Schizosaccharomyces pombe: one gene and its partners. The gene in region 4 interacts genetically with the main gene of each other region. Each region holds a gene or a part of one and is shown on either strand. Other genes may lie near its edges.

Evidence for each region.
Region 1: mutations in ada1 (region 4) and tif308 together harm fitness more than expected from each alone (negative genetic interaction), as found in Schizosaccharomyces pombe (one large-scale study listed by BioGRID).
Region 2: mutations in ada1 (region 4) and plb3 together harm fitness more than expected from each alone (negative genetic interaction), as found in Schizosaccharomyces pombe (one large-scale study listed by BioGRID).
Region 3: mutations in ada1 (region 4) and vps5 together harm fitness more than expected from each alone (negative genetic interaction), as found in Schizosaccharomyces pombe (one large-scale study listed by BioGRID).

What each region holds. Positions count from the first base shown.
Region 1 is NC_003424.3:985,173-992,175, reverse strand, and holds tif308 (translation initiation factor eIF3h (p40)), read right to left. Parts: upstream 3,816-7,003; 5' UTR 3,780-3,815; coding exon 3,754-3,779; intron 3,715-3,753; coding exon 3,608-3,714; intron 3,517-3,607; exon of another isoform or gene 3,429-3,516; coding exon 2,488-3,428; 3' UTR 2,310-2,487; downstream 1-2,309. Other genes in the region: DNA-binding transcription factor Moc3, read left to right, coding at 1-424; mitotic and meiotic (sporulation) septin Spn2, read right to left, coding at 651-1,320, 1,383-1,464, 1,576-1,704, 1,763-1,837, 1,887-1,926; cytoplasmic poly(A) polymerase Cid13, read left to right, coding at 5,429-7,003.
Region 2 is NC_003424.3:1,067,909-1,076,005, reverse strand, and holds plb3 (lysophospholipase Plb3), read left to right. Parts: upstream 1-3,643; 5' UTR 3,644-3,878; coding exon 3,879-5,867; 3' UTR 5,868-6,083; downstream 6,084-8,097. Other genes in the region: plb1 (lysophospholipase 1), read left to right, coding at 1-1,229; SPOM_SPAC1A6.11 (uncharacterized protein), read right to left, coding at 2,152-2,472; wdr55 (WD repeat-containing protein), read right to left, coding at 6,190-7,275; transcription coactivator Rqt4, read left to right, coding at 7,554-8,097.
Region 3 is NC_003421.2:699,269-707,221, forward strand, and holds vps5 (retromer complex subunit Vps5), read left to right. Parts: upstream 1-3,328; 5' UTR 3,329-3,338; coding exon 3,339-5,069; 3' UTR 5,070-5,550; downstream 5,551-7,953. Other genes in the region: protein mug123, read left to right, coding at 1-477; TATA-binding protein-associated factor TAF6, read right to left, coding at 897-2,123, 2,282-2,413; xks1 (xylulose kinase), read right to left, coding at 5,705-5,908, 5,960-6,454, 6,540-7,508. UniProt on the Schizosaccharomyces pombe protein: Required for efficient sporulation target of PtdIns(3)P in vesicle transport required for onset of the forespore membrane formation. Plays a role in vesicular protein sorting.
Region 4 is NC_003423.3:376,093-384,982, forward strand, and holds ada1 (adenosine deaminase Ada1), read left to right. Parts: upstream 1-4,207; 5' UTR 4,208-4,297; coding exon 4,298-4,468; exon of another isoform or gene 4,469-4,531; coding exon 4,532-6,856; 3' UTR 6,857-7,208; downstream 7,209-8,890. Other genes in the region: srx1 (sulfiredoxin), read right to left, coding at 370-744; SPOM_SPBC106.03 (steroid dehydrogenase), read left to right, coding at 2,535-3,608; tim11 (F0-ATPase subunit E), read right to left, coding at 7,435-7,520, 7,611-7,782, 7,848-7,868; chaperonin-containing T-complex delta subunit Cct4, read left to right, coding at 8,229-8,890. UniProt on the Schizosaccharomyces pombe protein: AMP deaminase plays a critical role in energy metabolism.

The DNA of each region.
Region 1 (7,003 bases), on a different chromosome or scaffold from region 4:
TTCTGTTTCTCGAAGTCATGCACCTGTTTCGGATTCTTTGTTTACTATTGGATTGGACATTCTCTCTCAACCAACCTTGTCTGATGATTTGCATCGAGAACGAATGGTTGCTTGGCGAGATGAATATCATGTGCACTTGTATTCAGCATCAAGAAGTCCTCTTACTAAAGTTATAGATTGTGTAGGACATGCCGTTACCAAAAACAATAATGACGTTCTTTCTGGCTTACAGCAATTAATGCAAGAAGAATGCACAGATATTGCAGTATTACGCACTTCCTATTTATGCGTATTATCTCTACAAAATGTTTTTGCATCAAACTCTAAAGAATTTAAACTTCGGGCACAAATCGAATCTCATTTCGGAAGATTGATGCTAGAACATTTTATGGATTGCAATGTCTTAAATCGACCAGTACTTTAATTTTAAAATCATTTTGATGCTTTTCAATAAATATTGATATAGAACTGTATAATAGCTAGACAAAATCACGCATCAAACATATAATCTCTCGTTAATAAGATAAACACTTCATTTGTAAGATTCGCATAGTGTAAAAAGAGCCGAAATTTACGAATTACGGTACGACAGTCATACAAATGGTTTAGTCTTTGTTCTAAACATACTATATATTACCTTAGGAAGAAGACTATTGAGCGGTGGCTGTATGGAGATGTGGTTCAGAAGGGTACACAGGTGCGGGACTTCCCATTCTAGTTGCGAGGGAAGACTGTTCTTTTAAGCTGCTCAATTGCTTAAAGCGGAATTTCTCGTAATGATAGTATGAGGTCGTTTCAATTAAATCTTGAAGATGAGTTCGCATCAAAAAGTTACGAAGAAAAACAAACTCGCAGTGGTTTTCATCATCCACATTGACAACCCCCCATCTGTTTTGACGACCACGAATAGGCCTTCCATCTACGATAATGGCTTTTTCGGAACCGACCACGGCAAAAGGAATAAGATTTCGGACGGCAGCATTTAGATTAATTTCCTCCTCATCGGCGTCATCAGAATCATAAGGATACAAATTGATGTCGTGTTTAACAAATTCTTCACGGATTTGCTGCTTAAATGCTGCTCTTTCTTCAAGAGTCAATGAATCAGACTTAGCGATAACAGGCACAACATTTACGACTTCTGTTAAGCGTTTGAGGACAGCAATATCAATAGGGCGCAAAGAATGTCCAGTTGGGCGAATAAAGAATAAACAACAATGTACTCTTGTGTCTTGTAGACGTTTCTCGCGATGTGAATTTAATTCACGACGAAGATAGGAAGAGTGTTGGTCCCTAATGTACTTAATTATAGGCTCCCAGCTATTATAGTTAGAAATTGCTGTGCAGGAATAGAAATTTCCATTTCCACTGATCAAACTTACCATTTATCGTTATTAATTTGATCTCCATATCCAGGAGTGTCGATTAAATTTAATTGTAATTGAACACGGTTCTCGCGAACGACTATGTGGTTAGCAATGTAACCATAATAAATATAAGGATTGCTGACTCATTGAAGCCAGCTCAATGAGTTCAATCAAAGATGAAAACCTAACTATAAAAAAATCAACATACCTTGGCTTGTAACATGGATTTCAGTTGTCTGGCGATAAGGAGCTTGGTAATCCAGACGACCCTTACTGTCCATCAAGTGCGCAGAGAATAAAGTATTAATCAAAGTGCTTTTTCCGCTACCTGACGGTCCTATTTGAAACTGTTAACATCATTATAATTGAAAATCTGTAATAAAAATAATACGTACCAACCACCATTACATTAAATTGAAAACCACGACGAATTAACTTGCGGTTAATTTGCGAAGTGATAGAATCGAACCCTATAAACATTAGTTTTGACTCTTTATCAACATTCTTTTGTTTTCATACCCACATAATTATTTAGGGTAACTGCAGAAGGAACTTCCATTGCAAGTTGCGAATTGAATGAATTTGGAATTTGTTGGTTTTGGCCAAGTCAACATTGTAACGTGAAGCAAGTCAAAACAAACAAAAAGGTCTCGGCAATATTTACGATTTTTTTTTTAAATAATCTAACAGAGAGAAAACAAAATTTAACAATATATTTTATTAATAGAAAAGTGTTTCGATGTTGTATAAGGGCCCGAAAATATATTAAATTAGCAATGTAACCTAAAACTCGAATACGATAAACAAGTAGATTACCAGCAACTGAATGCACTATTGAAGATTAAACTGTTTCTTATAATTACAATCATGGTATATTTTTGCACATTGTATTTCAACAAACCAATATGCTGTATCAAGAAAACCAAAACAACTTTTATAATTAAGTAGATCCTTTTATTTTAATGCTACGAGGTATAACTAGTGAGAGTGAAGAAGAATGCTCCATTTTTTATAAACAAATACATGCAACCGCTTCACAGAGATCAAAGTCCTTAAAAATTTTCAACCAGATTCACAAATAATTAGCGCTAAATTTAAGCGATTATTACCAATCAGTAGCTTAAGAAGCATAAGCGTTTCGTACACCGGCAAGCTTAGACAAGAAAGCAGAACTTTGTTCATCTATTTGAGTAGACTTCATAATTTGAGAGCTAATCAATAGAGAGTCAAGAAGTCGAGGCTCCGCAGGGAGCTTGAAGATTCGCTTCCAATCGTCTAAAGGTAAAGGTTGTAAATTTTCGGCAGCACGATTTGCATTTTCGGCCTTACGCTTAGCAATCCACTGTTGAATTTTAGCTTGCTCTCTTGCGAGTTGACGTTGATGAAATCCAAGATTTCCTTGCTCATAATGAAACTCATCAGTAGACTCCAATAATAACTCAATATTCTTTCTATATCTGGTACCCAAACTAACCTCAAAGTTACTGAACGTTTCAGTCAAGGGTAAGTTGCTTTCACAATCTTCAAGAGCAGCTTCGGCGGTTAGGGTAGAAGCTGGAGTAGGAGGCTCACTAAGAGAGTGGAGCAAACAGGTAGCCAAATGAGAGTTGTGAATAACAATAGGAAGTTCACGGATAACATTGGAAGGAGTCAAGTTGTGGCTATTGAGGGAGGAGGCGGTCCAAGTTTTTTCCTCATGGGCAGCCATAAACTCTGGAGTTAACTGATAAGCACGCATGTACAAAGTTCCATTAGAAGATTGAGACAAATCATAAAGAAAAGCGATACTGTTGGGGTTTGCCTTTTGATAAGCATATTGCGTTTCTACAAAAAAGGGGCTACTTAAGAATGAACTAACATAGGCTCCCAAATACCAACCAACGTGACCAGTAACAGCACCAATGTACTGAAGACGATTAAGCATCGCCTCAGTATGAGCTTGGCGTGCTTTACCGGAAACAGACTTGTTAACAGCAGACTCTTCATTTTCAAGAACAGACGGAGACTCGAAGCTGCTACTGACTTGTAAAACACCATCAATGTCAATACCAACAAGCTGACCTGAACGAAAGTTAGTTAAAAATATTATTTCAAGAGAGAAACTGTGGTTGATAAGAAATTTCACTAAGTAGAGCATTACTGAGCTGACAAATGCATAGCTGCATCTTTGATGCAGAAAAATTGCAAGTTTTATCATTTCGAAAAATAGGGAAAACTTATTCTCCAATGACTACACTTACCAATTGTTCCCATATTAGGAAAAGAATCACGGCAGTGCTTGATGATATTCATTACAAGTAAAGATTCTAATTCCACCCGCTCAATAGGGGGAGACTCCAATTCTGGACTACTGAATTAGTTATTTATATATCTTAGTCATTCTTACACATTCAATGAAGTTGTATCAGACATGTTTTTTAAGTCTGCCAAGTAGTTGGTTGAAGTGCAAATTGCTGTACGAACTTCTAAAGGAGTTAGTGTTCACCAGTTTAATGACAAGTAACAACAAGTAGCAACTTTTTAAAGCCATGGCTGTCGGCGATTACAAGTTATAGAATAGAGGAGCCTACCAGTTTTATTAAACCTTTTCTAACTAGTTAAAAAATTTGTAAATTTTTTTTTTGTTTTCTCGGCCTTAAGCTCTATTTTCATGACTTCTTTTACTAATTTACCGAAATATGATTTTCATGCTTATTGTAATTTAAGAGCAGCTTCACCGCCTTGCAAAGTCTTTTTAATATAGTGTAATTGACACTGCATTATACTTGAAAGTTCAACATTATTCGTTGATTGGAAATGAATGTGACTGCTTTTCCGTTATATTTACTATATATACGGGTCATTATCCTCAACAAAACACTATCGACGATACTCCATAGGATCATTTCTATAGTATACGTCCGGCTTGGGTTTCCTAACCTAGCCACAGAACTCAACACGGATGATGATAGGAGGCACCGTTGCCCTCAGAGTGAGGACTTTTAATTCTTTGAAGGCATGCTTTTCGATTAGGTTTTTTACCTAATTGTTTTGCTGTCTTTCTATGCGATGATCTCTTACATGATATGTTTCCTTTTGGTCGTATTATGTAGGGCAGCTGGTGTTTTCTGACGTGTTTAATTTCATCTATTATATTACAACTGTGGTGTCGTTTGATGACATAGATGTAATTTCTAGATGAAGTTGTGTCATGTTTTAGCGTAGATTTTAGTGAATAAATGAAACGATTTCAAATTCCGTTAGATTGTTTGATTTATGTTTCTTATTAAAGGAGTCAATTGTATGGTATTTGGAGTTAGATGGATAGCTTACTTGGCGGCGTTTTTTATTTAATATTGTCTGCTGTACATTCGTTAGTAGTAAAGTATTACACGAACGTTTCCACTCAATTGGAAAGTCAAGTCCATGCTTTGTGGGAGCAACATTGATCATGTATGTTTATGTATTGCTAGTTTGTTTATAGAATAACGCAGATTACGGAATCACGCTATTTAACGTCAAAACGTCAAGAAAGGTGTCAATTATGCTCGTTGTCATGCCAACGTCATTGTTTGCGTTTTTTCTTTGATGATTACTTTGTTTATTGTTTTCAGTTGAAGATTGTAAAAATATCATTAGCTGAACGTTGCTTTAAAGGTGTCTTACGTGAATATATTAAGGTTACTTTATAACGGCGTTGTATATTCATTTGTTACTTATTTACCGATCCTATGTTGATGCCGTACTTGTTCCTTGTGTAGGAAAGCTGATACCTATGTACGTACGTATTGCTGTTAGGCGGTTCTTTTATCCCACACCTCTTCCTAAGAATAGCTACAAACATTACCAACTTCATATTAATTCATCAATACGATCTTGAAACTTAGAAGTACTTCTAAATTGTCTTTTCTTGTCGATAGGGCTCGTACATTTGAACTGTTCTTGCTGGATCGTTTCAGATCAAAGCTGATCATATTACAAAGAACTCACGCCTTTACTAGCTGACAAGGTAGGATAACGTCGGAATCCATAGAGAATTTGCAACTTATTAAACCTTAGAAGCTTCTTACCCTCTTAATACTATGGACAACGCTAATTGCGTTGGCGGTTGCAAATTTGAAACTCGCAGCTTTCAATATAGAAGGCGTATTCCTTATAGCCTCGGTGCGGATCCACTTCCGCCAGTACATCCTCTATCATTAAAGAATTTAGTTGATATTGATACTGATCTAATTTCTTCTCAACTGTACGAGTTGTATGACTCTATTATACTGAACGACTCGGGTTTAGAACGTCGATATGCATTTGTGCAGAAACTCGAACAAATATTGAAAAAAGAATTCCCCTATAAAAATATCAAAACCTCCCTTTTTGGGTCAACCCAATCTCTTCTTGCCAGCAATGCATCAGACATTGATTTGTGTATCATTACTGATCCGCCTCAATGTGCTCCAACGACCTGCGAGGTGTCAGCTGCCTTTGCTAGGAACGGACTTAAAAAGGTCGTTTGCATTTCAACAGCTAAAGTGCCAATTGTAAAGGTTTGGGACTCAGAATTACAACTATCATGCGATTGCAATATCAATAAAACTATATCTACCTTAAACACGCGTTTGATGCGCTCTTACGTTCTTTGTGATCCCCGAGTTCGGCCCTTGATTGTTATGATTAAATATTGGGCAAAAAGACGATGCTTGAATGACGCTGCCGAGGGCGGTACACTCACTTCTTACACCATAAGCTGTATGGTTATAAACTTTTTACAAAAGCGCGATCCACCGATTCTTCCCAGCTTGCAAATGCTTCCTCATTTACAAGATTCGTCTACTATGACTGACGGGCTGGATGTGTCGTTTTTCGACGATCCAGATCTTGTTCATGGTTTTGGTGACAAAAACGAGGAGTCTCTTGGTATCCTGTTCGTAGAGTTTTTTCGATTTTTTGGTTATTTATTTGATTACGAGCATTTTGTTTTATCCATTAGACACGGTACCTTTCTTTCGAAACGAGCAAAAGGATGGCAATTTCAGCTTAACAATTTTCTGTGTGTTGAAGAGCCTTTCCATACATCTCGAAATCTAGCTAATACTGCAGATGAGATTACCATGAAAGGAATACAATTGGAATTTCGACGTGTTTTCCGTCTTTTAGCGTATAATTGCAATGTCGACGATGCTTGTTCGCAATTTACTTTTCCCTCTCTAACTGACACAAGCTTTATGGACGATTATGTAAATGAACTACAATTGGAAATAGTTCCTGGTTTCTCCCATGGTCGTGACTCTTCGGACACCAGCTGTACAGAATCCCCTCCTGAGCCATCACATTTTGCTTGGGCCTTTGATCCTTATAATGCAACCGCTTCTCCCTATTATAATCAGAATATTAATTCATCCATTGACTACTCTTCTATATACTCAAACGACGTCCCTGCAATCCCTCCCAATGTCCCTTATACCTTTGTTGACCCTTACACCTATGCATGCTATATTAATAATAATAGCTATCTTCCACCCTCATACATGGACTTTTATACATGGTATAATTCTCCCTACCCCAAATCTTCACACCATTTTGATGAGAGGCATGGCGGGGATCGTCACGAAAAAAATTTGTCTAATTCTCGGCGATATTCTCGCAATAAGTTTCACAAAAAG
Region 2 (8,097 bases), on a different chromosome or scaffold from region 4:
GTTCTATTATGAATGAAGTTGCCGAAAAGGCCAATGCTGGCTTTAACATCAGTCTTTCCGATTACTGGGGACGTGTGATTTCTCGTACCCTTGGTGACACTACTTATGGTTTCCCTAATGTCTCTTTGTCTAGTATTACTTCCCAAGAATGGTACCGCAATGCCAACTTCCCTTACCCCATCATTACCTTTGCTACCCAAAACTATGGTGAGGATATTAGCAATGTTAACACTACTTTCTTTGAAGCTTCCCCCAACGTTTTCGGTACCTTTGACCATGGAATCAACTCCTTTATTCCTACCGAATACTTGGGTACTACCTTAAACAATGGTGCTAGCAGCAATGGTTCTTGCGTTATCAACTATGACAACTTTGGTTTCATGATGGGTGCTTCTTCTACTTACTTCAACAAGATAATGCGTAACTTCAATGACTCTTCTACCAAGAACGGTCGTATCATCCAACAATACTTGAAAGGTAACTTTTCTGAAAACGGTCAACAAATCATCTCCATTCCCAACCCCTTCCAAGGTGTTGAGAGTGCTAATTCTGATGCTGCCAACAACTTGGGTTCCAGCTCTTCCCTTAACTTAGTTGATACCTTCCTTACTGGTGAGAAGATTCCTTTGTGGCCTTTGTTGCAAAAGGGTCGTGATGTCGATGTTATCGTTGCCGTTGACAATGGTGATGACAGTGAATGGCTCTGGCCCAACGGTAACTCTCTTGTCCAAACTTATGAGCGTGTCGTTGCTGCCCAAGCTGCCGGAAACACCAATGTTAAGGGTTTCCCCTACGTTCCTAGCCAACAATCCTTTGTCAGTCTTCACTTCAACGATCGCCCTGTCTTCTTTGGTTGTGATGGTCGTAACACCACTGCTGGTAACCACACTGTTACCCGTGACACTCCTCCTTTGGTTATCTATCTTCCCAACGTTCCTTACAACTACTTCACTAACATTTCCACTGATCGCACCTACTACACTGAAGACATGATTCAACAACTTCTTACCAACGGCCTTATTTCCTCTACCGTTGACAATGACACCTACTTTGGTCAATGTTTTGCCTGTGCCGTTGTTAAGCGTACTTTGGAGCGTAACAACATCACTGCTAGCCCCGAGTGCCAACAATGCTACTATAACTACTGCTGGAGCGGTCTTTATGATGACAGCGCTGCTAATGATGATATTGTCTACAATCCTACTTGCCGTCTTGGTGAAGGCATTTAAGGAAAGGCGCATGCAAACTTTTCTCTCTTCAGTATTTATACGACATATCTGTTGCTCACAAGCAAAAGATAGAGGGCAATGCTTATGCCTGGAAAAAAGTTTTTAAAAAAAATCTATACAATGTCTGCTGTCTTAGCATAAATCAAACCTAGCCATATATGTGAATCAATCCAATTACGCGATATGGGTTTTTGTTAACGGATTATTAAACTGAACGTTCACTCCGCTCTAATTAGGGAGACTATTTTGTTATCTTCCGAAAGTATTTTATTCTAATTTACCCTCTCTTCGGAATGTTTTTTGTTCATTTTCTATTGTGAGCTTTCGTTTGCTGTAATTCAGTTTTGTTGACGGCTCCAAATTGGACGTGTTCTAGTTGTTTATGAGAGTTGCTGTTATATATAGTTGCGAAAATAAGTCATTTTTTTAATTCTTGGTTGTAATAAGAATGTTGTTTGTCTATATAAATAAGTTGACTGTAATTTTTTTGTTTTGTTTGATTCAAAAAATTATTATTTATATGTATATATTTTGTATGATAAAATTTGATTTTTAAAGGTTTGCTATACTTGAACAAGGAATAGTGAACTTTAACATACAGCCTATAATTCATTAATTAGGATGAGGAAGGAGATGTAGAAATGAAAAAATTTAGTTAACGTAAAACAGATTATACGATCATTTACAAATTATATCAACTGTACGCAATTTAATCAATGAAGTAGTGGGGATGTAGATGAGACAGTATAGAATACATCACAACGAGTAATGGGAGAAAAAAATTGTAGTAGTTGCGCGGGTTTTGCTCGGCCTCGGGCTTTACTTTCTAATCCGATGACTGTGAGTTACGTGTTTTGCAAAATTATTTAGCAAGTGTGCATTTTATGCTTTAAGTCTAAACGAAATGGGATCCGAGTTAACTTTAAGTTGAGGCTTTGCTTTTGATATAGGTATGCGCATGCGATTTACAAAAATCTAATCGAACAGAAGTAAGTATGTGTGTATGATAATAACATTTTGATAAATAAAGAAAACTGGCTAAACATATATTATGTAGAATTGAAAGAGCATAATTACAAGAAGAAAGACACTTGAAGATATGTTGTGATGTCATTAGATGTAGCGACTTTACAAACATGAAACTATGAGGAAAAAAAGAGTTACTGAGAGAGATTGATGATATTTTATATACACCATGACTCCAAAGATTGAAGGAAGTTAATAAATAAACATTGTGATTCATATTTTAATCAATTATGTAAAATGCGGCCAGTTGTAATGTAATGCGACTAATTTGATGCCAGTAATGTGTGTTAAATAATAGTCAAGGACAATCTGCAAGTTCCTTAGAAAGGTCCGGTTTCGAAGAGGCACACTTAATATCCGAGGGCGGCGCAGTTGAAATAACCAGCCCGGTTGAACGCTACATTCTCCTATACTTAACCTGCAAATGTTTCCGTCGTTAAGGATTTTAGATATATAGCTTAGCAACATTCATCCCAATGTGAACTTTAAAGCAGTCATAGTTGACCAGAAGATGAGCAACAAATTCAACGTAAAGGCTTGCGTCTCAGCGACTGCTCAAAATATAGATTTACACAACAACTTTACATATTAAGCGATATTTAAAGGACCGACAGTCTCGGTCTCTTTTCGCATAGAACGGAAGGGCATTTACATCATGGGGATGTAAATGGACCTTTTTTGATCTACAAAATGGGAATCTAAAAAATCTGTCAAAGATAGACATATGTGTCTCTGCTTACATATATATACATATATATATAGGCTGAATCACTTTCAACTTGCCTTTTCCCAATATTAAAATTATCGCACAAGTCGCTACTTTAGCTACTACTAACTTTTAGGGTAAGAAAGTGTAAGGGGGGATTTGCTTGGAGACTAGGCATGAGCTTGTATTTAATTGGAATAAAAGAAAAAGAATAGGAATTCATGAATTTGTTGAATGAAATTGCAAAACTGCAAGTCATTTGTATGAAACATAAAGCAGATGAATCCCAGGTTTTCGGTTACGATGCGACGTTTGCCGATGAACAGAAATGGTAAATGGTTTCGCATTTGATTCCGCAATACCGCAAACAGAAAATTTTATAAACCATGGAATTGTCAAGCGTTTCGCCAAATTCAAGAGCAAAATCCAGTGTTTATCTTAACATTGAGACGCTATGCTTTTTAATAAAAATCAATAACTTTGGATACTAACTTGTCATTTATTTAGACACAAATTACAATAATCAGATCCTCATATACCGGAGCAGAAATAACAGCACGGTAAGCAGATACAGTGATACAGTAAGAGCTGCGTTGGAATACGGGTGAATTTCAGCTATAAGGAGTTTTAAAATTTTTACGTAGTAGGGCGCTTTTGGTTTAATTTGTTTCACCATCCGTTTACAAATATTCCGTTGTTGTGTTGTTTTCGTTCACAAGAAAATTGTTTGAGGGTATAGTCAATTTTCTAAACTTTTGTGGGTCTAGAGAGACAGTCGTTGATTCCATCGTTTGTTTTGAGCGCGTTTTTGTAACGGCCTTCTAATCTCTGAGTTCAAGCAAAGCGGTGTGTAGATTTTGGCATAATTTCCCAAATTTATTGACCTAAAGACGGTTTAACTATAAAAAAAAAAGACAATGTTATTTAATTGTTTTGGAATACTCGCTCTGCTCCAGATCCTGCCGGCCTTGGCGTACCCGCCTTGTCGCGAGCAAATGTCGGATCCGTATGAGTTTGGGGAATCTGACTTAATGAGACCGGGCATGCATGACACGCCTCTTTCATTAATGCAAAAACGAGAGGCTTTGGCGATTTCGCTTTCCAAGCGCGACAGTGTTGGATCATACGCGCCTTATAATGTAACTTGTCCTAGTGACTATATGCTACGACCTGCTTCTGACGGAATAAGTTCAGGCGAGCAAAGTTTCATTGATAAACGTATCCCCAAAATCAATACACAAATGAGGTCCTTTATTTCCAACACTGGTTTGGACGTAGATGTAAACTCTGTGATTAATGATTCAGATGGCCCTCGTTTAGGACTTGCATTTTCTGGCGGTGGACTCCGCGCTATGGTCCACGGAGGAGGTGTTTTAAATGCTTTCGATTCTCGAAATGGCAATGGTTCTTCACTTGCTGGAATTCTTCAATCCGCCATGTATATCGCTGGTCTTTCTGGTGGTTCATGGCTGGTCGGTTCCGTAGCTGTTAATAACTTTGCCAATATTACTTATCTACGTGACAACGTTTGGAATTTGGAACATAGTGTCTTTGCTCCTCATGGTGACAATGTTGTCGAAAATCTTGCTTATTATGACGACCTGGATGATGAGATTGATCAAAAGAAAGATGCAGGATTCGATACTTCTTTGACCGATCTTTGGGGACGCGCTTTATCTCGTAAGCTTGTCGATGCTACCCAAGGTGGTCCAAATATCACATTTTCTAGCATTAGAAACCAAACTTGGTTCCAAAATGCCGACTATCCTTATCCCATCATTATATCTGACAGTCGTTTGGAAGAGGAAAAAGCTATCCCTGCCAACACCAGTATATTCGAATTTACTCCATACGAGTTTGGTACTTGGGACAATGGTATTAAAGCTTTTCTCCCTATGGAATACGTCGGTACCCATTTAAAGAATGGTGTTCCACCAGACCATAAGTGCATTCGTAACTATGATAATGCCGGTTTTGTTATGGGTACTTCAGCTACATTGTTCAACACGTTTCTGTTAGAATGGAGTCAGGAAGTAACGTCAAATAGTACTCTCTATGATATTATTCATAAAGTATTTGAAAAACTTTCTGAGGATCAAAATGACATCGCTCCTTACCCCAATCCTTATCAGAATTTCACGACTACAAACACCACCGTCAAAAACCCTTTTGAGCGATTCGATACTATTGATTTAGTAGATGGTGGTGAAGACGATGAGAACATTCCTATTTGGCCTTTGTTACATCCTCAAAGATTTGTTGACGTTATATTTGCTGTTGACGCAACTTATGATGATTCTAATGGTTGGCCTGATGGCTCTTCTATTGTTACTACATATGAAAGGATTATAACTTATAACGCCAATAAAAGTGTTGATGTTCGAGGTTTCCCGTATATCCCTGATGAGGACACAATCATTTCCTTGGGACTGAACACTCATCCAACATTCTTTGGATGTGACGGCAGAAACACTACTGCAGGTAATCATACCGTAGATAACAATACACCTCCTCTTCTTGTTTATTTCCCCAATTATCCTTGGGTTTACTATTCCAATATTTCCACGTTTACCATGTCTATGAATGACACTTTGTCCAGTGGCATTCTTGAAAATGCTGCTCTATCGGCTACTCAAAACAACAGCGATTCATTTGCAGTCTGTTTGGCATGCGCCATGATACAACGTTCCTTGGAGCGCAAAAATATGTCTACTCCTAGTCAATGCTCTTCTTGTTTTGAACAATACTGCTGGAATGGAACAACCGTGAACAACCCTAGTGCCGTTTCAAACTATGCTCCTACTGTGTTATCTGCATCAACCACTTCTGGTACCTCTTCTGTACGAGCCAAACCTATAGTATTTTATTTATTTGCTTCGCTTCTAACAGTTTCGTTACTATTATAGACGACGAAAGCCTCCCCCACTCACACACCTTGGTATGAGTCACTTTTCGACTTGAAAGAATTAAAAAGCATAGACTGAGTCAGGCTTTTATTTATTAATTGTAAGGTATTAATCACTACCAAACTTGTGGGGTTCAAAGGTTTTGTAGTTTTAGTGTTAGTGTTAGTGAATTCATTTTAAGTTTTCGAAGCACAATGTTTCTTTTCTCTAATGAAGATGTTTAGTTTAGTTAATTTAGGAAGATCGCTTTTATTTTTAAATATACAGACAATTAATTTTAATAATGATTGTGCAATTTTATAGATATCAAAGCTGTTTTGAATTATAAACCGTCAAAAAAGTCAGTTCCTAAAGGCTTTTTCCCTTGATTTCCCACCTTTTTCTTTTTCTTAGGACTCGAGAATTCAGAGTCGCTGCTGGAATCTTCATCACTATCTAAATTATCAGAGGAGGATGACTCATCTCCTTCCTTCTGATCAACCGGCCAGAAAGCTAGTTCGGTTCCACTACAGGAAACTAAAAAATTGCCTTCGGTAGTAACATCCACAGCGTCTACGGTTGATCGCGAAGAGTGTTGCCCTATAATTCTTTCGTATTTGTTTGGAAGAATGTGTAACAAACGTATACATCCGTCGCTTCCGCCAACATACAGACTGTCAGAATCAGCACGAGTTATTGTTTCTATTGAAAAATCATGGGACCGAATTGGCGATAAAATGCGATCGGTATGATCCCCCCAATCACCCTTTGTAAATAAAGTTATAACTCCACTGGCAGTACCAACAGCAAATTTCTTTTTTGAATGCTGATCCCGTGTAAAAGCTCCACAGGTCATTTCTTCGTCTTGTTCTTCACTCAATATTGGTTTTTTGAAATTACGAGCATCGATTACTGACAAAACTCCATCACCACTAGTAGCAACGAAGTATCGTTCTTCAAATGGGCTAATAGAAGATATATAGTCAATATGATCATTATGGGTATGGATAATGCCTCCCTCGGTGCGCTTATCCCAAACAGAAACACAACCATTATCATCACCTGTAGCAAAGACCATATCATTCTCAATCCATTGAACCACACTATAAGGAGAAATCTCCTTATTCTTATCCACTATCCATTTTGAACTCACTCTCCCCGTTGAGGTATCGGCGATTTTTAAAACACCATCTGAACCTACAGAAATGAATTCGGTACCTGATTCATTTACTGAAATATTTCTGCAGCTTTTTTTATGTCTTTTGGTACTCCATTGCTCGACCAAACTTATTTGTGCGACATCATATTGATAGCTACTAACTCTGCCGTTTGAAAAACCCAGTAACACTTGATTTTCACCGAAACAAGCTAAGTCGAATATTTCATTTTCAAATTTTTGTTTTATAGCAGCATTTATTGTTCCACCCATTAGGTTGTTTAGGACAAGTAGGCTGTGATTAGAGCTGGGCAATCCACCTCTCAGCACCCATTGCCCTGTAGCAAATTTGCATACCCTAGAATCGCGAATACTATTACACTACCAACTTGATATTGTTTTGGAAAATTTACATAAAGCATATAAAATTTTATTTGTACGAACTTCTTGAACTCATTTAAATAATTCAATAGTATTTTTTACTTGGGGATTCTTTATTCAAAGACTTTATTCGAAATCGTTAAACTACGAATTCTTTTAGAAAGTTAGACATGGAAAAATGGACGAAGGAGAACGTACTGAAAATTTTGCCAGTCGACGATGAGAGTGCCGCAATGATAACAAGCACTGCTTTAGCAGTCGATTCTTCCGAAGCCGCAAAAGATTATTGGATTTCTTTACTGGGGGATTCTGCTGAGACTATAGAATTCATTAGTGACTTCAATCAAAAAAGATTTCACTCTACGCATTCTGGTAATTCTCCATCGATCATGAAAAACAAGAAGAATGTGACACCAAATAATAATATTCGGCAAAAAAATACTGCCACATCTTCTCATCCAAGTTTCTATATCGCTAACAATAAGCAAAAAGGATATGATGAAGAAATGTATAAAGTCAATCCTGCTTCGAGGAATAAATCACAATCAAACAATATTTCATCACATGAAAAATCTAGCAAAACTACGAAAAATGTCTCTCCAGGCGTAATGACTTCTGACCTTATTCCGGAAAAGAAAAGTGTAAAACATAATAACTCTTCTTCTAACAGAATTGAAGGTCTCGCCGACATCGAAAAAGCTATACGTCAAATAG
Region 3 (7,953 bases), on a different chromosome or scaffold from region 4:
GGCTTAGGAGGCATGCGCTCAAGGGTATTTTCTAGCCAGCATCATGGTGTTTATCACACCCGTCCTGCTTCGCTTCATTCACGTACAATGGCTCCTCAGCACACCATTCTTACTCCACGATTATCTGCTACCGAAGGTAAGGATGACGATGAGGACGAATTGGTAATTTCGACATCGAATACTGCACCAACATATATCTCAATGATTGAGTCTTCACGTGCCAGCTCAACCCATAGTGGGACTGCACCTTCCATTATGGGAATGTCAATACATTCAAGAGCAGACTCCAGAGCCGAAACTACTCAATCAGACGGCTTTGAATCTCGTAGCGGATCACCTACTCATGATATTCAATCTTATCTTGTCAATCGACGAAGCAGCAGTTCTGAATCTTCAGACGAGGACAGTGCTGAAGAAGGAATGAAACGTCTAGTAATCACAAATATGGGGGACAATGATGAATTCGATAGCGATTAGTGCAGTTATTTTTCCATCGATATCTGATAAAGTATTATTATTTATTATGGTGCTATTCCCTCACCTAGTTTAATTGCTTTAATTCGTTTACTTTTATTCGCATTCTTTGGCATAATCAAGCATTCCTTCCCCTTTCTGTTCTATTACGTATTTCTTTCATTTAAAACCCGGCATTGTCAGCTAGTCTCACATCTTTAATCAAAACATGAAATAAACTATATCAATATTATCATCATTCTATTTTTATTCATTTGAAAGCTATTCGGTGCTTCCTGTTTTAATGTAACATGAATATCAATAACATTTTAATTATAGAACCTATAATGGTTTAGGTAGTGTGGAAAATTGGGTAAATATTTTAAAGTCCGAGATTCATAGATTAAATTGTTCAAAAACAAATATTTTATGCCCAACGAAGACTATTCTAGCAGACCAAGAAGCAATGAGGTATCGTTTTCCTTCATTATCTTTTCAGCCATTAAACTGCCAACGTTCTTCTCAAGAAGACCACTAGCATTTGGCGGAAGAGTTCGTTGATTTGGTAATTGATCATCCCGCAGTAATAGCAAAGCGTCGTACAAAGCATCCATACATTTATTGGCCTCGTAAATCTCCTCTTCATTTCCTTTTTCCAAGGTTTTCCGAACTAGGACTTCGTAAACTTTGATATTGGGAACGACGAGGACTCTAATAGCTTCTTTCCCCATAGTTTTTAAGCCTTTGATGGCACCATAATGAGTGGAATATGGCTTGGTGTTATCCAAAAATGCTTTGAGTGCCGTGCGAGTAACGCGAGGCTTTAATGTATAATACACATTACCAAATCGATCACAAACAATCCCGAGTAAAAAAGCAGCTAAGTCTCTTAGTGCATAATGCTCGTGATTATTAGGATCACTGCCAAGGCGCTTCGCGACCAAACAAGTAAGGATGGATGGCATGAGTTGTTGGACGTAAGGCTCTACAAAAAGGTTGGGGTTATCAAGAAGGGCCCAGGCCATGTGCATTAAAGTAGTAAGAACCACAAGATTTCCTAAGTTTCGAGTTACAGAATCCGATAAAAACATTATGAAGTATGGTAAAAGTTGGTGTAATCCGGGGTCGTCACGTAAACTCGATAGGGCAGCATCACGGAGCTCAACATTAGTTTCATCAAGCAATGCACTGGTAATACGCTCAAAATAAAGCTGTAACTCTTTGGATAGCACATGTCGCACCAACGGTTTTATCTCAACGTTGTCCATCGAAGTGACACCGTTTCGAGCTTCTTTAGCAGCAGTTGAAGCACCTGGCATAACCCCTGAAGTACCCTTGGATGCCCATTCTCCAACTGTGTGATCTGAGGGAGTTGGATTTTGAGGAATGGCTGGCTGCACACCTTCGATGGCCAGCCAGTGTGCACTGTAAGAAATGTTTCTAGGGACTTTAGGGAGAGGAGCGTTTATGATTTTTTCAAAATCCACTTCCTCATCATCAAGGTAGTAAAGGGAATTTTGGCCTGCACCTACAGCGGCTTCATGAAATTCTAATGGACGAGAATTATTGAAGCCGTATAACGGCTCAACATTCAACGTCCGTAACGCTGAAGAGATATCTGCGCTAGTTAAAACAGTTCTTTTAGAATGAACCATAAACTTAGTGGCTTCCTAAATCAAATACTGTTAGAGAATTATGTTTAATGTCAGAATAAAGCAGACTATCTAGCAAATTGAAAGGCATCGTAAAAAACTAGCAACAATTTTTTAGTTATTTTAGCCTCTTCCAAAGAAAGTAAAATCTCATAGTCTACTTTCACGAAACCTACCTGAACCACCTGATGAATTCTATATTCGAGATCCATTGCAATAGCTGCTGCTGGTTCATCGGCAAGATTGCCAATCCCAAGCATTTCAGCAACATCTTTGATGGATTCAATATTCCATACTGTCAAGGACATGACTTGGTAGTAAGATGAACGATTTATGGATCAATGAGTGAATTGCATCTGCAGAGAAGTAGTTAACGATGTTAGAAGCAACTGCTTTATTTAACATACTTGTCAGCAATACTACACTACGCTATAATACACTACGTTGCGTATCACTATATGTCACATGTTCTAATTATATATCGTACCATGTATGATACGATATGGAGATTGATCTTAATGATAATCTATTAAGATCTATATTATCTGAATACTATAAATAGAGCTACTGCTGAACCTCGTTCCTCAGTTCAGTTATGAGCTATATTAGTGATAGGTAACATTATAACCCAGTTAATACAATACCTATACTCAGTTGCTACTTATACAACCTGTGTATTGTAATATAATAGATCACAAGGAAAACTCACCGCAGTTCTACGTATCCTTAAATCAGATACCAAACTGCGTAGCTTACAAGACAGTGAGCTACACTAAAATCGCTATTAAACATTACGTTACGCATCAAAATACACTACATGGAATACCAATTAATCTCAATTTGTTGAACAATAGCAGAAGACTATATGTTTGTTTACTAAAACATCCATTGATATTGATATAAAATAGTAGTTAAAATTAGAAGTCTAGATTGAACAGAGCATCATTCTCAGTCCAGTTATTAGCTGTTACAATGATAAATATATTATCACCCACCACTCACAATACTGTATAACGCAATATACTGCTTCTACAAGCTAAATATAATTTAATGTAGCCTTAAAAGGAATTAGAAACTTGAATTGTTGACACTTATCTAGTTGCACCGCAAGTCACCCCGCATTGCTAAACGTATTTAACCATCGTTATTTTTCGCTAGTCGTCGTTGGGCTGCGCATCACCATTTCAGGCACGATTTCAGTGATCAGATCCAAAAACCCAACCGGCCACCATCATGCTTGGGCATAATATATATGAAGAAGACGATGCATTTAATCCATTCGCAGATTCCGTTTCTCCACTGAACCCTCCAAAAACCGACCAAGAGCCCTCAGCTGAAGGAGTGGAAGAAGAGTCGCCGAATGTTCAAGCTTCTCCACCAAAAACTCATATCTATACATCTCCTAGGAAACGAAGCGTCAATTTGAAATCTCTTCCGTTTGAAACGTTAACTTTGGATTCTGCACCTTTAGGTCCCTTGCAATTTTCTGATGCACCTTCTATGGCACCCGAAAACAACCGTTTGGAAGTTGGTTTAAATACAAAAATTAATCCGTTAAAAGGATCTAGTCCCGCTTTGAATGCAGATTTTTCTGCAAATAAGCCTTGGATCTCAGAAGTGAACTCCTTTTCCCCTTCTCCTATCGGAGCAACGGAAAATCCCACTATACCAAATTCAGAACAGACGGTAGATACTTTAGACGCTGCCTCATCTTCTGCTCCAAATTTTACACACACTGTCTCATCTGCCTCCTCCCAGAAGCAAGGTTCAACCTCATTAACAGATACGGAGAATCAGAAGGCGCACCCGGCAGCGGCACCTCAATCTCTTACCCCGTTTTACATCCAAGTTCATGACCCTCATACCGTTAAGGAAATCACTAAATCGCATACCGTATATTCGGTTTCCACTCGTTTAGAGGAACACAATCAACCTTCTGTTAGCAATGTGACTGTACAAAGACGATATAATGATTTTGCTTTTCTTTATCAATTGCTTTCTAATAATCATCCGGGTTGTATCATTCCTCCCATCCCGGAAAAGCAGGTTGTAGGCCGTTTTGATGATGAATTTATTGAACAGCGACGAGCAGCCTTGGAGGTAATGCTTCGCAAAATATCTGCCCATCCGGTTCTACGTGATGATTACTCATTTAAGTTGTTTCTTGAAGCAGAGACATTTGACCCTAGAATGACACATCGTACTACTCTCATTGAGAGTTCATCAAGTCCTTTGCGCTCAGGTCCCTCAACATCTGGTTTACTTGACTCATTCACCTCCGCCTTCCATACCTCTGGATCTTCTAAATTTTCCGAACAGGATCCAATTTTAATTGAAGCAAAGGATACACTTGATTCGTTGGAAACTCAACTAAAGTCGGTTTATCACGCGCTTCTTTTATCCATAGATCAACGCATACAGTTCGCTTCAGCCATCCATGATTTTGGCGAGGCTGTTGGAAATTTATCTTTAGTTGATTTAGAGCCCACCTTATCATCCAAGTTTGATGGTCTTTCCCAACTCCAGGTAGAGCTTCGATTTGTACAAGAACGTAAGGTTGCTCAAGACAATTTGACACTGGGCACTACATTGGAGGAGTACATTCGGTACGTGGAGAGTGCCAAAAATGCCTTTACTACACGTCAAAAGTTGTGGCAGACATGGCAATCTTCAGTTCAAGCTGTTTCTCGTGCTAAAACTCAACTTGAGAAATGTAAAAAGCAAGCGAAATCTCAGCAAAAATCACTCCCTTACTTGGAAGAACAATACGAAAAATATCGAGCAAAAGCTGCTGATCTGGAAAAAGAGTTTTCGGAATCAACAACTCTGTTAAAACGAGATTTGAGTTCTCTCACAACCAGTAGAGTTGATGATCTCAAAGCTAGTGTTGAAACGTGGTTGGAATCTGCAATTGAATCTCAAAAAGAAATTATTGAGCGTTGGGAATCATTTTTGGATCAATAACGACTCTAATTTTCCCTATGCACTCTTTTAATTTTTATGTTTTTCTTTCGTGTAATATTTCTATCCCATATTCGTATTAATGTATTTCCAACTACCGCTTTATTACTTTGCACTTCTCTAGCTGACGATTTCTATTCTATTCTAATTATTTTTTTGCAATTTCCCTTTTCGTCCATGGTACTTCATTACTTGAAAAGAAAATGTACCTTAAAATATTGCATTCTATCTACTAACCTTACAGCAACCCTACACTCCTTTGTAAATAAATAACTTGTGTATGTTTTTAAAAATTGTCTTTGTTACTCAAGCCTTTTTATATTTGTTTATGTTTAAACGCTTTTTCCTGCTTAAATTGTGTTACTTATATGTAAAAGCGTATGCAAAAATTTGTTTAATAATATGGTGTATGACTACTTTATGTTACATATTTATTTGTCTTAATTTAGACTCGTGATTCAAAGCTCTCAAAACGATAGCTCAAAAAAATGTTCATGTAGGAAACGTTTATCATTTTGTATCCTAAGGTTTATTCATATTTTTTAAAAAAAAAAGTGGATTTCGCTTTCATTAATAATCTCGTTATATCAATAGCTAATCACATAATCAAGTGCGAAATGGAAAAGCATTTAATCAATTCAATGCCGGATATCTGACTGTTGAATCGCAATGTCTTCAGCCTTTTTGAGGAAAGGTAAAAGCTTTCCATATTCTTCATAAGTTTGGGCGGATGGTTTATTCATGATTAGTTCAATTTTCTTGGACTCATCCCAAGATTTGTTTACATATTCTTCAAAGGTAAATCCTTTTCCATTCATTGCATATGCAGCCTTGATAGCGCCCTAAATTGATGGTCAGTAACTATTAATTAACAACATTTTCCGTTCACTTACGCCAACAGCACAGGCATTACTACCGCCGTGTTTTAGCCGATAAACATCACATCCCAAAACCTGGCTAATTTTAAACACAATAGCCTCGTTACGACTAGCTCCTCCTACAACATAAACACGATCAGGTTGTGGTATACCAGTTAGCAAAGGAGTAATCCGCATGCGGATATCAAGATTTTGACTTTCAACTATGGCAGAAGCATCCTCATCTGGATAATCCCATGATTCTTCATCTTTATCCACCTGATACAACTCGGTGCCTTGGATTGCAAATCTCCACGTACCCGGTCCAACTGCGGGTAAAATCTCCCTTTGTGGATAAAAAAGACCGAGCTGTTTCTTTTCACCAGCACCTTTAATGTTGGGGTTCAAAATCGATTCATTAAAGCGGTCCCAACTGGTATTGTCCGAAACATTATATTTTTCATTGATTGTGTTTCTTACCTGTTCCCGCGCTAAGCTACCGTTTTTATAGCATAACATTACCATATAATGCTAAAGTCCATGTTAGTTAGAAAACCAGAGAAAATGATGAGTTTTGAACAACTACTTCACCAAAAGAAAGTCAAGTTCAACTTACGTTCTGCGTAACAGGATGAGCAAACATGTGATACTCTGGAGAACACACATAGTTTTGAGTAGCCATTAGAGCAGTAGTACTAGTACCCAATGATAATAGTACATCTTTTCCCGGTCTTAAAGGAAGGGATAAAATAGTGGCAGGGTTATCTCCAGTTAAAGGAATGATTTGACAGTTAGGAGAAAACCCATACTTCTTAACGAAATACTTCCCAATTGGTCCTAGATGTTTTGCCCCGTTAATCTCAACCGTACCTAGTTTGTTAGCCAAGTCGGGTCCTTTAGAATTACCAGCAACTTCTTCCAACAAGCGAATATCGAATTTCTCATTCTGAATGTCCCAGAGATTCATTCCACAAACGTCACTGATGTCTAAAGGTGCCTCGGTTTGCAGAAGTACCGAGGCTAGAAAATTAGAGACAAGTGCAATTCGTTCGGTATTTTCGTATGTCTCGGGGTGCAAACGACGAAAACGCTTGATTTGGGGTCCAGTAAAGCGTAGGTGAGCTTTAGACCCAGTAAGGTCCGCTAGTGCTTTGGCTCCACCAATGCAAGATTCAAGCTCCTCGCATTCTTTGGTAGTACTGGCATCTTGCCAATTTGGAGATGTTGGATGAATGAGACTTTCCAATTGTTGTTTTAAAGAAGATTTGGCATCCAACGAATTGAGGGCTTTTTTACTTCCCTTAAGCAGGAAAACGCTTGCATGTTGCTGACCGGCACCAGATATAGCTTGTATTTTGCTAACATCCACAGAAGCCTTAAGTCTCTCAAACAGTAAATCGATGGCGTCTAGCCACATACATACTGGAGCAAAAACCTCATATCCATTCCTGTAGACCCCTTTGATAGTGTTGTAATCACTTAGATCCCGATCAAAATCGACGGCAACCTCTTGATGCACGTTCAAAGACTCATCAATGACCACGCCCTTGAGCTGCTGAGTTGAGAGATCCAAACCTAAAAACATATTCACAAAAGTCAAATCTTTAAAATGACTGTCGATATATTGTACTTAAGAAACGGAAAGAATGAATTTCGACAAAATCAAATTAACAGAAAAATCTCGTTTTAGCGCCTTCCTTAAGCTGTATTTTCCGCAGTTATATGTCTGATCAATATATATATCGTTAACCATTGACATCCAAAAGTTCTAGCCGTGACTTATGTCCGTTTTTACTTACGATTATGTTCGTAAAAATACCTTAGATACAGTTTACCGAAACCTTTTCAAACGTTAGCTTAAAAAAACTCAGAGTGTTGTTGGGGTAAGGTACCTTGTTTACTCTAGAGAAAAACAACGCGTTGGAAACACGTTTGGCAAAAAACTCTTTGAAAAAAAGTGATATTCGTTTCAAAATCGAATATCAATATAAAAAAATGGCTGAAAAGTTTGATACTGACAAGGAATAAAG
Region 4 (8,890 bases):
TTAATGAACCACATATTATATGGCCCCTGATATCTATACTTTGATACTATGTAAATATAAAGAACGCTATACTCCCAAACGCTATAAGTTGTTTGTTTACGATATAATACCTTTTTGTGTTTGTTTTTTTTAGGTAAAGCAACCAAATGAATGATGCTTTTTTATAAGAAACTTTTTTAATATAATTGGGTTATATTAGACATTAAAAAAAAACCCCATAACTAATGTAAAACAAAAACCTTTAAAAATAATGTACCGCCGGTAGAGATGATTATTAACGCCATAAATGTTGGTGCAGGAAGGGAATAAAACAGGTTCAATGGAATATCGATAATCCTAAAAAAACTTGTGAAAAAATCTAAGTTAAATCTAATCACTATCCAAAAATTTATTGGCAGAAGCACCCAGATACAGGCGTAGAGTGTTAGGGGAGCAATTTACCAATTTGCAGCGAACCTTTTTGCGCCCTGCTTCATCGTGAGCACGTAGTCGATGACAGCCCCCAAAGGCAAAATAATAAGGCTTCCCACTCTTTTTAAACGTTAAAACATCAACAGGAGGAAGCTCACCAGCTTCCAAATCTTCTGAAGTCAAACCGCATGAAGCTGGAGGAGTTTTCCCTGTCATGGTTTCCATCATACTATTGACTTTGTTCATATCTAAAACAGGAGGTATAGGACGAATTAACTCAGACATATCAAGCTCAACAATGTTGTTATTTGAGCCAGTGTGAATCGAAGTCATGATGGTTAAAAATGAATGAAAGAAAGAATATAAAAAAGATAAAGTGAACAGAAATTTTTATAAATAGAACAGAAAATTATAAAAAAAGGCAAGTTAATAAGAATGGAAAAGTGGATATTGATATCGAGTATATTTACTCCTTGATCTGATATCGTTTCCTGTTGTACTAATGATCTGCCCCACAACCTATCTTATCCCGGTATGTATATAATAATTTACAAATATGACATCATTATCAAAGATGAATCGATACTTAAAATCTTATGTAAAAATTTGTCAGCATGTTAGCGAAACACGTTAAACCGACTAGGACAAAGCAACGTGGTTACGTTACGAGGTCTGGGTTTGTGTTCTTAGTAAGGTAGTTGGAGTAGCTTATTCATTAAATGTAGATGGCAATAAAACACTATTGCAAAGATGTCAAAGTGTAGAATGATGCTACCTAAATAGAATTTCAAGCACAAATACTTAGGTATAAATAACTTGGAGTCGACGGAGAACTGTAAATGCACGAGTACATTCAAAAATGTGTAAACAAAAGGTTCACTTTCTGAAAACGCTTTCTAAAATGTGACAGAGATAACCGACACAAGATCATTAAAACAATATGAGTATTGTTTTCGAATGGTGAAAGAAGCATTAGCTAGTTGAAGAGTGCAAATTTTGGTTAAGAAGAAATTCATTGGTAGAATGTAGGCTTGAACCGTTAGTCGTCAACAAAAGTGGAATTTTAAAGATTGCATCTGAAATCCTTAAATTTTAAGAAAATCCATCCTTAAGTCAGGATTAAGAAACCATAGTATATTATTTTGTTTGTATAAGTTCGGCTGCTATATTTGCTGAGGCCAAATTGATTCTTGGCCAACGTTTTATATCATAAGATTTGAAGGCAATGTAGCAAATTGAATATTAGATTATTTTAACACTTTAAAAATGTTAGGTAATGTAAGGAATAACATTTCAATTTAAAGAAGGACTGAGCGACAAATGAAAGGCTGTTCTTTTTTTTACAATTGTTGAGACAATTACAAGAACTATGGTACACATAAAAACTTTTAAAGAGTAGCAAGGTTTTAATACAATTCTTAAAGTTTTTTGAGCAAACAGATCACAATGATCCTTTCATATGTACATGCTTTAGAGAAGTAAGGTCAATACTTCAATCGGACTTCTCATCTACAATGAAAACGCGAATTTCATAATAAATACTAATCATCCATCCGTTCTCTCATATCCTTGGTATCCTTTATCCTTCCCATTAGTCAATCTCTAAAGCCATTAATCCTCATTTTTTTATAATGCCATCGCTCAATTCCCGCAAAACATCAAACCTTTTATGAACAGATACTATCATTTACTTACAATATGTTTTTAGCAACATAGCTTCCTATTAGCCTGATGTGAGATTAACTTCGATAAACTTTCAATATTAAAACTTGCATTCGATTTGAATCATCTTTACTGCCATAAAATAGAATTGCGATTTAGGATCAAGTTAGCACGACATCATGGTGTTTTCCAATATTCGCGACCTGTTCTCAACCACCACTCACCACTTCATTAATTCCAAGTTTTAGAATTCTTTAGCTTTTTGAAGTATTACTTGTGAATTCCTCAAGTGATAGTATTTATTGTTGAAATTGCTAAATATTTTTCAATTTCATCCTGCATTGTTTCCTTCTTCAAACATTATATCAGGGAGAAAATTGAAGTGTTTTTTTGCCTGGAAATCTAATCCAATTGCTACGAAAACGAATTATCATATCAAAAAGGTAGAATAACATTAAAAAATGAATCCTGAACGCTGGGCTGCCGATTTAGTCTCTAATGTTAAGGATTACGGCAAGCGAATCATTGACTATGCTCATGAAAAAACTAGTAACCCTCAACCTGTTACAGTTCATACTACAAACAGTGCCAAGGGAAGATTGGGAGAATTTCTTTATCAAAATAGAGTATCAGTTGGCTTAGGATCGGCCGCTTTGTTCCTTGCTGGATTATCCTATTACAAACGCTATGATTATGTACGCAAGCGTCGTGCTCCACGTGCACCCAACCACCAAAAAACCCAAGTTGTTGTCTTATCTGCGTGGAACCCTCTCGCCTCAGTAATTGCTCACGATTTGGATCGTCGTGGTTTTATCGTCGTTGTTCTTGTTCGCGATGCATCTGAAGCAGCTACTGTTTCTCTCCAACAACGCCCTTACATTCAATCTTTGATTGTTACTCATAATGAGGCTGTTGAACGCTTCCTTTTGTCTTTTTCCAATCAATCTGGCCCTAAGGAGTATGCTTTGCGCCTACGTGGTCTTATTCTCGTTCCCACAGGAGATTCTTTGTACACTCCAATTGAGAACATTGGAAAAGATGCTTGGATCAGTGCTTTTCAACAACTCAGTGAATCTTTCTCTAACGTTTCTCGAATGATTCCTCTTTTGAAAAGTCAAAAGGCCAGAATCATTGGCTTGTCTCATGGTATATTATCCGCTTATGAGCCTCCCAATTATGCTGTTCCATCTATTCTTTCTTCTTCCATTGAAACTTTCTTGCGCACTCTCAAGCGTGAAACGGGCTTACAGGTTATTTGTATCAAACTTGGAAATCTCAGCTTTTTGAATTACGATCATTCTAGCTCTCCAGGTAAAAGCAATTATCCTCCTTCGTTGTGTACGGAACGTAAGGTTCTAAACAAAATTTTTGACTCCTTGCTTGGTTGCTGGCCCTCTCCAACTCGCCATGTTGGTTGTCGCACCTTTTTCATGGTCACAGTATCACGGTTCCTTCCTACGTGTGTTATTGATGGGATTTTCTCCTTGTTTGGAAAATTTCACTTCTTTTCCTGCAGTCTTATTAAGCGCAGCTAAATACTTGTATGGAGCCTCAGTTCTCTCTGTTTCCTTGTCAAATTGAACTCATCCCATGTCTATCATGGTTTGGTATAATGATAATGATGCTATGAAAAGATGTCATTGATATCCATATCTTTTGCTTGAGTTTTTTCAATTATTTTTGTTTCTATTTTTTTTACGCTCGAGGTGTAAAGCGAAATCTAGTAACTGTTAAGCTCTTTTCCTCAGAGCGAACTTAAGTAAAATGGTTTATAGGTTATTTTACCGTTCGTACTATTGCTACAATTTCGATTTCAAATTGTATTGTCTACTTAAATGTGCAAGTGATACAAAAGATAGGATGTATATTGATCGCTACTGAAACCGTAAAAACAAAAGTTACTCGTAAAATGAGTGTCAATTTTCTCTTTAATTTATTGAATGAAAATATTAAAAATCATTCGATTTAAACAAATTCAGTTTGGCCAGAATTCTAAACATTTCAATTGCCCTTAATTTTGTTTGCCTCAATAAATCATCGCTCTATTTCGTTAAACAACATAATGTCTGTACGTCCTCTCTCACTATGTGGTTTACTTCCGTATATAAACGGCTCTTCACCCGCAAGTGCACGCGCTCCTCTCAAAAAGGTGTTGTTTTCGTCGCATTCTTCTTGAAGAGGCCAATTTTTGGGATTCTTTTTTATTCTAATTTTTAGAGCTGAAATGAACATGGAACAAGAAGATGATCAAGTCCCAGCTGTTGCAGCTGAAACTGTTCCTTTAAAACGATATGTAACGAATCCTGGTGCTAATCGAGACGAAGAAGTTGCAGCAGCGCCTTCGTCTCAAGACACTCCTTATTTTGATTATGCTTATGAGCGCTCTTTAAGACATGTAAGTATTTAAGTGAAAACCCCCCAATTCGATATATTACGTGTTTAACTAACCATAACCTAGCAAGATGCTAAATTTCTGGCTATGAATGGAACACAAAACGGTCGGGATGGACTGCCCTCTAAAAGCCCAAGACGACCATCAGTCTCGGCTAGCACAGTAAGGAATAGTGATGATGTAAACCATAGTAAAGCTGGTCCTGGAAGTGGAAAGCTTTTGAATGATACGCTTCAAAGCAAAATAAGTAGCATTCATATGCCCCATGTGCAGCAGGGAGACAATGCTGTAGTTTCTAGTGTTGGTGGCCCTGAAACCGATCCAGGAAACATGGAAACGACTGACCCTCTTTTCTCTGATGAATTGGCAGAAATTTATTTGTCAATCCATAAATGTATGGACATGCGACACAAATATATTAGGGTGAGCTTACAGGGTGAGCTTGACAATCCCATTGACGATGATTCATGGATTATATACCCTGATTGCAAAGAAGGTGAAGATGATACGGGCTTGTTTAATTTTGCTGATTGCAAAATTCCTGGAATTGAAAATGAAATGGAATATCACATGGATCATCAAGGTATATTTCAAGTTTATGAGAATGACAGCGCATACATTGCGGGGACACCGTCTTTTCATATTCCTACTATCCGCGATTATTATATAGATTTAGAATTCCTTCTTTCGGCTTCATCGGATGGTCCTAGTAAATCATTTTCCTTCCGTAGATTGCAGTATCTAGAAGGACGCTGGAATATGTATATGCTGCTAAACGAGTATCAAGAGCTGGCAGATACCAAAAAAGTACCCCATCGTGATTTTTACAATGTACGTAAGGTAGATACTCACGTCCATCATTCTGCTCTTGCGAATCAAAAACATCTCTTGCGATTTATCAAAGCTAAACTTCGTAAATGCCCTAATGAAAAAGTTATCTGGCGTGATGGCAAATTCCTGACTTTACAAGAAGTATTTGATTCGTTGAAGTTGACTTCGTATGACCTTAGTATAGACACGTTGGATATGCATGCTCATACTGACACCTTTCACCGATTTGACAAATTTAACTTGAAATATAATCCAATTGGTGAATCTCGTTTGCGTACTATTTTCCTGAAAACCGATAATGATATTAACGGTCGATATCTTGCTGAACTTACCAAAGAGGTGTTCACCGACCTTAGAACTCAAAAGTACCAAATGGCTGAATATCGTATTTCTATCTATGGACGGAATCGTGAAGAATGGGATAAGCTTGCAGCCTGGATTATTGATAACGAACTTTTTTCTCCCAACGTTCGTTGGCTTATTCAAGTACCTCGTTTGTATGATGTGTATAAGAAGTCCGGTATTGTTGAGACTTTTGAAGAGGTCGTCAGAAATGTCTTTGAACCACTGTTCGAAGTTACAAAGGATCCTCGTACACATCCTAAACTCCACGTGTTTTTGCAACGTGTTATCGGGTTTGACTCTGTTGACGACGAAAGTAAACCTGAACGCCGTACCTTTCGCAAATTCCCTTATCCGAAACATTGGGATATTAATTTAAATCCTCCATATAGTTATTGGTTATATTACATGTATGCCAACATGACTAGCTTGAATAGCTGGAGAAAAATACGTGGTTTTAACACCTTTGTCCTTCGTCCTCATTGTGGTGAAGCTGGAGATACGGATCATTTGGCCAGTGCTTTCTTATTAAGTCACGGTATTAACCATGGTATTTTATTACGAAAAGTTCCTTTTCTTCAGTATCTTTGGTACCTTGATCAGATCCCTATCGCAATGTCTCCATTATCAAACAATGCACTGTTTCTTGCATATGATAAGAATCCATTTTTGACGTACTTCAAACGAGGTCTTAATGTTAGTCTTTCCACTGATGATCCTTTACAATTTGCATTTACCCGAGAGCCTCTGATTGAGGAATATGCTGTAGCCGCACAAATTTATAAGCTCTCTGCTGTCGATATGTGCGAATTGGCTAGAAACAGTGTTTTACAATCCGGTTTCGAACGTCAGCTTAAAGAACGTTGGTTGGGTGTTGATTTTCAGGATATTGATCGTACTAATGTACCTATAATTCGCCTGGCTTATCGTGCTTTGACTTTGACACAAGAAATTGCGTTAGTGAACAAGCATGTCCAACCATCCAAGCACCCTTCAAACCATGATTTGGAGGAATTGATCCATAAATATGATGCTATGACTGGTACTAGCGACCCTTTGTCGGCTTCTCCTCGTACGAACGACGCTACAATAAGCAGTAGATTGTCTCTTCATGATGGTCATGACCATGGTGCCTTTTTCCCTGGACTAAGTGTGATTTCAGAGCGTCGTCGACGTAAGGATAGCATGGCTAGCAGTAGCCAAGATTTGAAAGATTAAGGTTTCTATTATGAACCGCTTTCGTTTATTTTACTTTTGCTTTTTTTTTCATGCAACTTTGATGTATTGAAACATTTGGGGAAGGCAATATACCTTTGATACCTTTGATAATTGTGCATTCTGTTTTAGAACGATATTTGTTCTTGTTATGTTAAATAACCCATAAAAATATATATAACATATATATTACCTCCTTTTCTTTCCTGTCTTTTTTTTTTTTTGGAATGAATGTTTACTATACATATTTAAATAGATAATGATATCCATGTGAACTAAAATGGTATGAAAAAAGCTTACAAGTCTATTTAATGGAATACTTATAGAGAATTAATTCTCAAAAAAACAAATCATGTGGATCATCTTCATTATAATAAAGTGAGTAAAGTAAGATAAGTTACCATGTTACAATTCGAATTTAGTAATAACTTAAGCAAAACGTTAAATTGATTAATCAGTTGACGCGGACAATCAGCAAATACTAATCGCACCAAAAGTGCACACAAAAATAAACAAACTAGTTTAGTATATCGATTTGTAGTGTGATAAGGGTTACCCATTCGTGGTTCAAGAGGATGAATTTAAACATTTTTTTCAAGTTCTTTGACAAATTCATCCATATCGAAATCTTCTGAATCTTTCTTCAAATTAGGCAACATAGAGTCTTCTAAATTGAGTATTAGTAAAGCGAAAAAAAAATGAGTACTATTGCACCCGCCAAAGTTCGTTAAACTCGTTGAGATGCAAAGAAACTAACCTTTAGGAGGAGTGTTTTTAGTATTGAGATATGCAATTTTGGCAGATTCAATCAAGGATTCTTGTCGGTGATAGTTCTCATCAATCTCCTTCTGCTTTTGACATTGAATATGACTCCTATGCTCGTACATTCCAGCACCTAAGCCAAGGACGAGGGCTGACCAGCGTAATGTCTATTCGTTAGAGATGGTTAAAAATACACATGGATATTTCGTGAAACTAATTCATTAGAGGATACCTTTACGTTTATGGAATTCATTTTTAGAGCGTTATATCACTTTTGTAAAAGAGTGGGGAGTGTTCAAGTTCATTTTGCATCCGAGCACAATCGAACTCTAAACACTTAACACGAATAGTGCAACGTTTAGTATTAGTTTAACATTCTAATAAAGGTTTTTTTAAAATATTTCAGCAAACGCTTTACCGTATTCTTAATTACTCCGCGGTATTGAAGCTGCTACCAGTGCTTGATCCATTTCGAAAACAAAGATAGCATTAACACGTTACGACACATTAAATTGTATACAATAACAAAACTTCGAGTACAGTAGTTTACAGTGCACGAAGAAGTCCCAAGGTAAAGCAAACGAAGTAGAGTTGCTCTCCTTCACCAAACACAATGTCGAAAGCAGCAACGGTTCCCGTGGCATTTCAAGACCGAGAAAAGCCTCAAGAGGTTCGGCTTTCAAATATTATGGCGGCTCGCTCAGTCGCCGATGCGATTCGAACTAGTTTGGGACCGAAGGGAATGGACAAAATGATTCAAACAGGAAAAGGTGAAGTTATTCTAACAAATGATGGTGCAACTATTTTGAAGCACTTGTCCGTCCTTCATCCCGCTGCGAAGATGCTGGTCGACTTAAGTGCCGCACAAGACGTTGAAGCTGGTGATGGTACGACCAGTGTAGTTATCTTAGCAGGATCCATGCTCGCATGCGCTGAGAAGCTTTTAAAAAAGGGAATTCACCCAACAGTTATCGCGGAATCTTTTCAAAGAGCAGCAGGTTTTACTGTTGATTGCATGAAAGAGAATGCTTTGGCCATTGAGCTGTCTGATCGTGAATCACTCTTAAGGGCAGCAACCACATCTCTAAATTCCAAAATTGTTTCACAATACAGTAACCTTTTAGCTCCAATTGCTGTAGATGCCGTATTAAAGGTCATTGACCCTCGTGTTGCGACAAATGTGGATCTGAAGGATATTCGTATTGTTAAAAAATTAGGTGGTATTATTGACGATACCGAGTTAATTCCCGGATTGGCTTTGACACAAACGGCAGT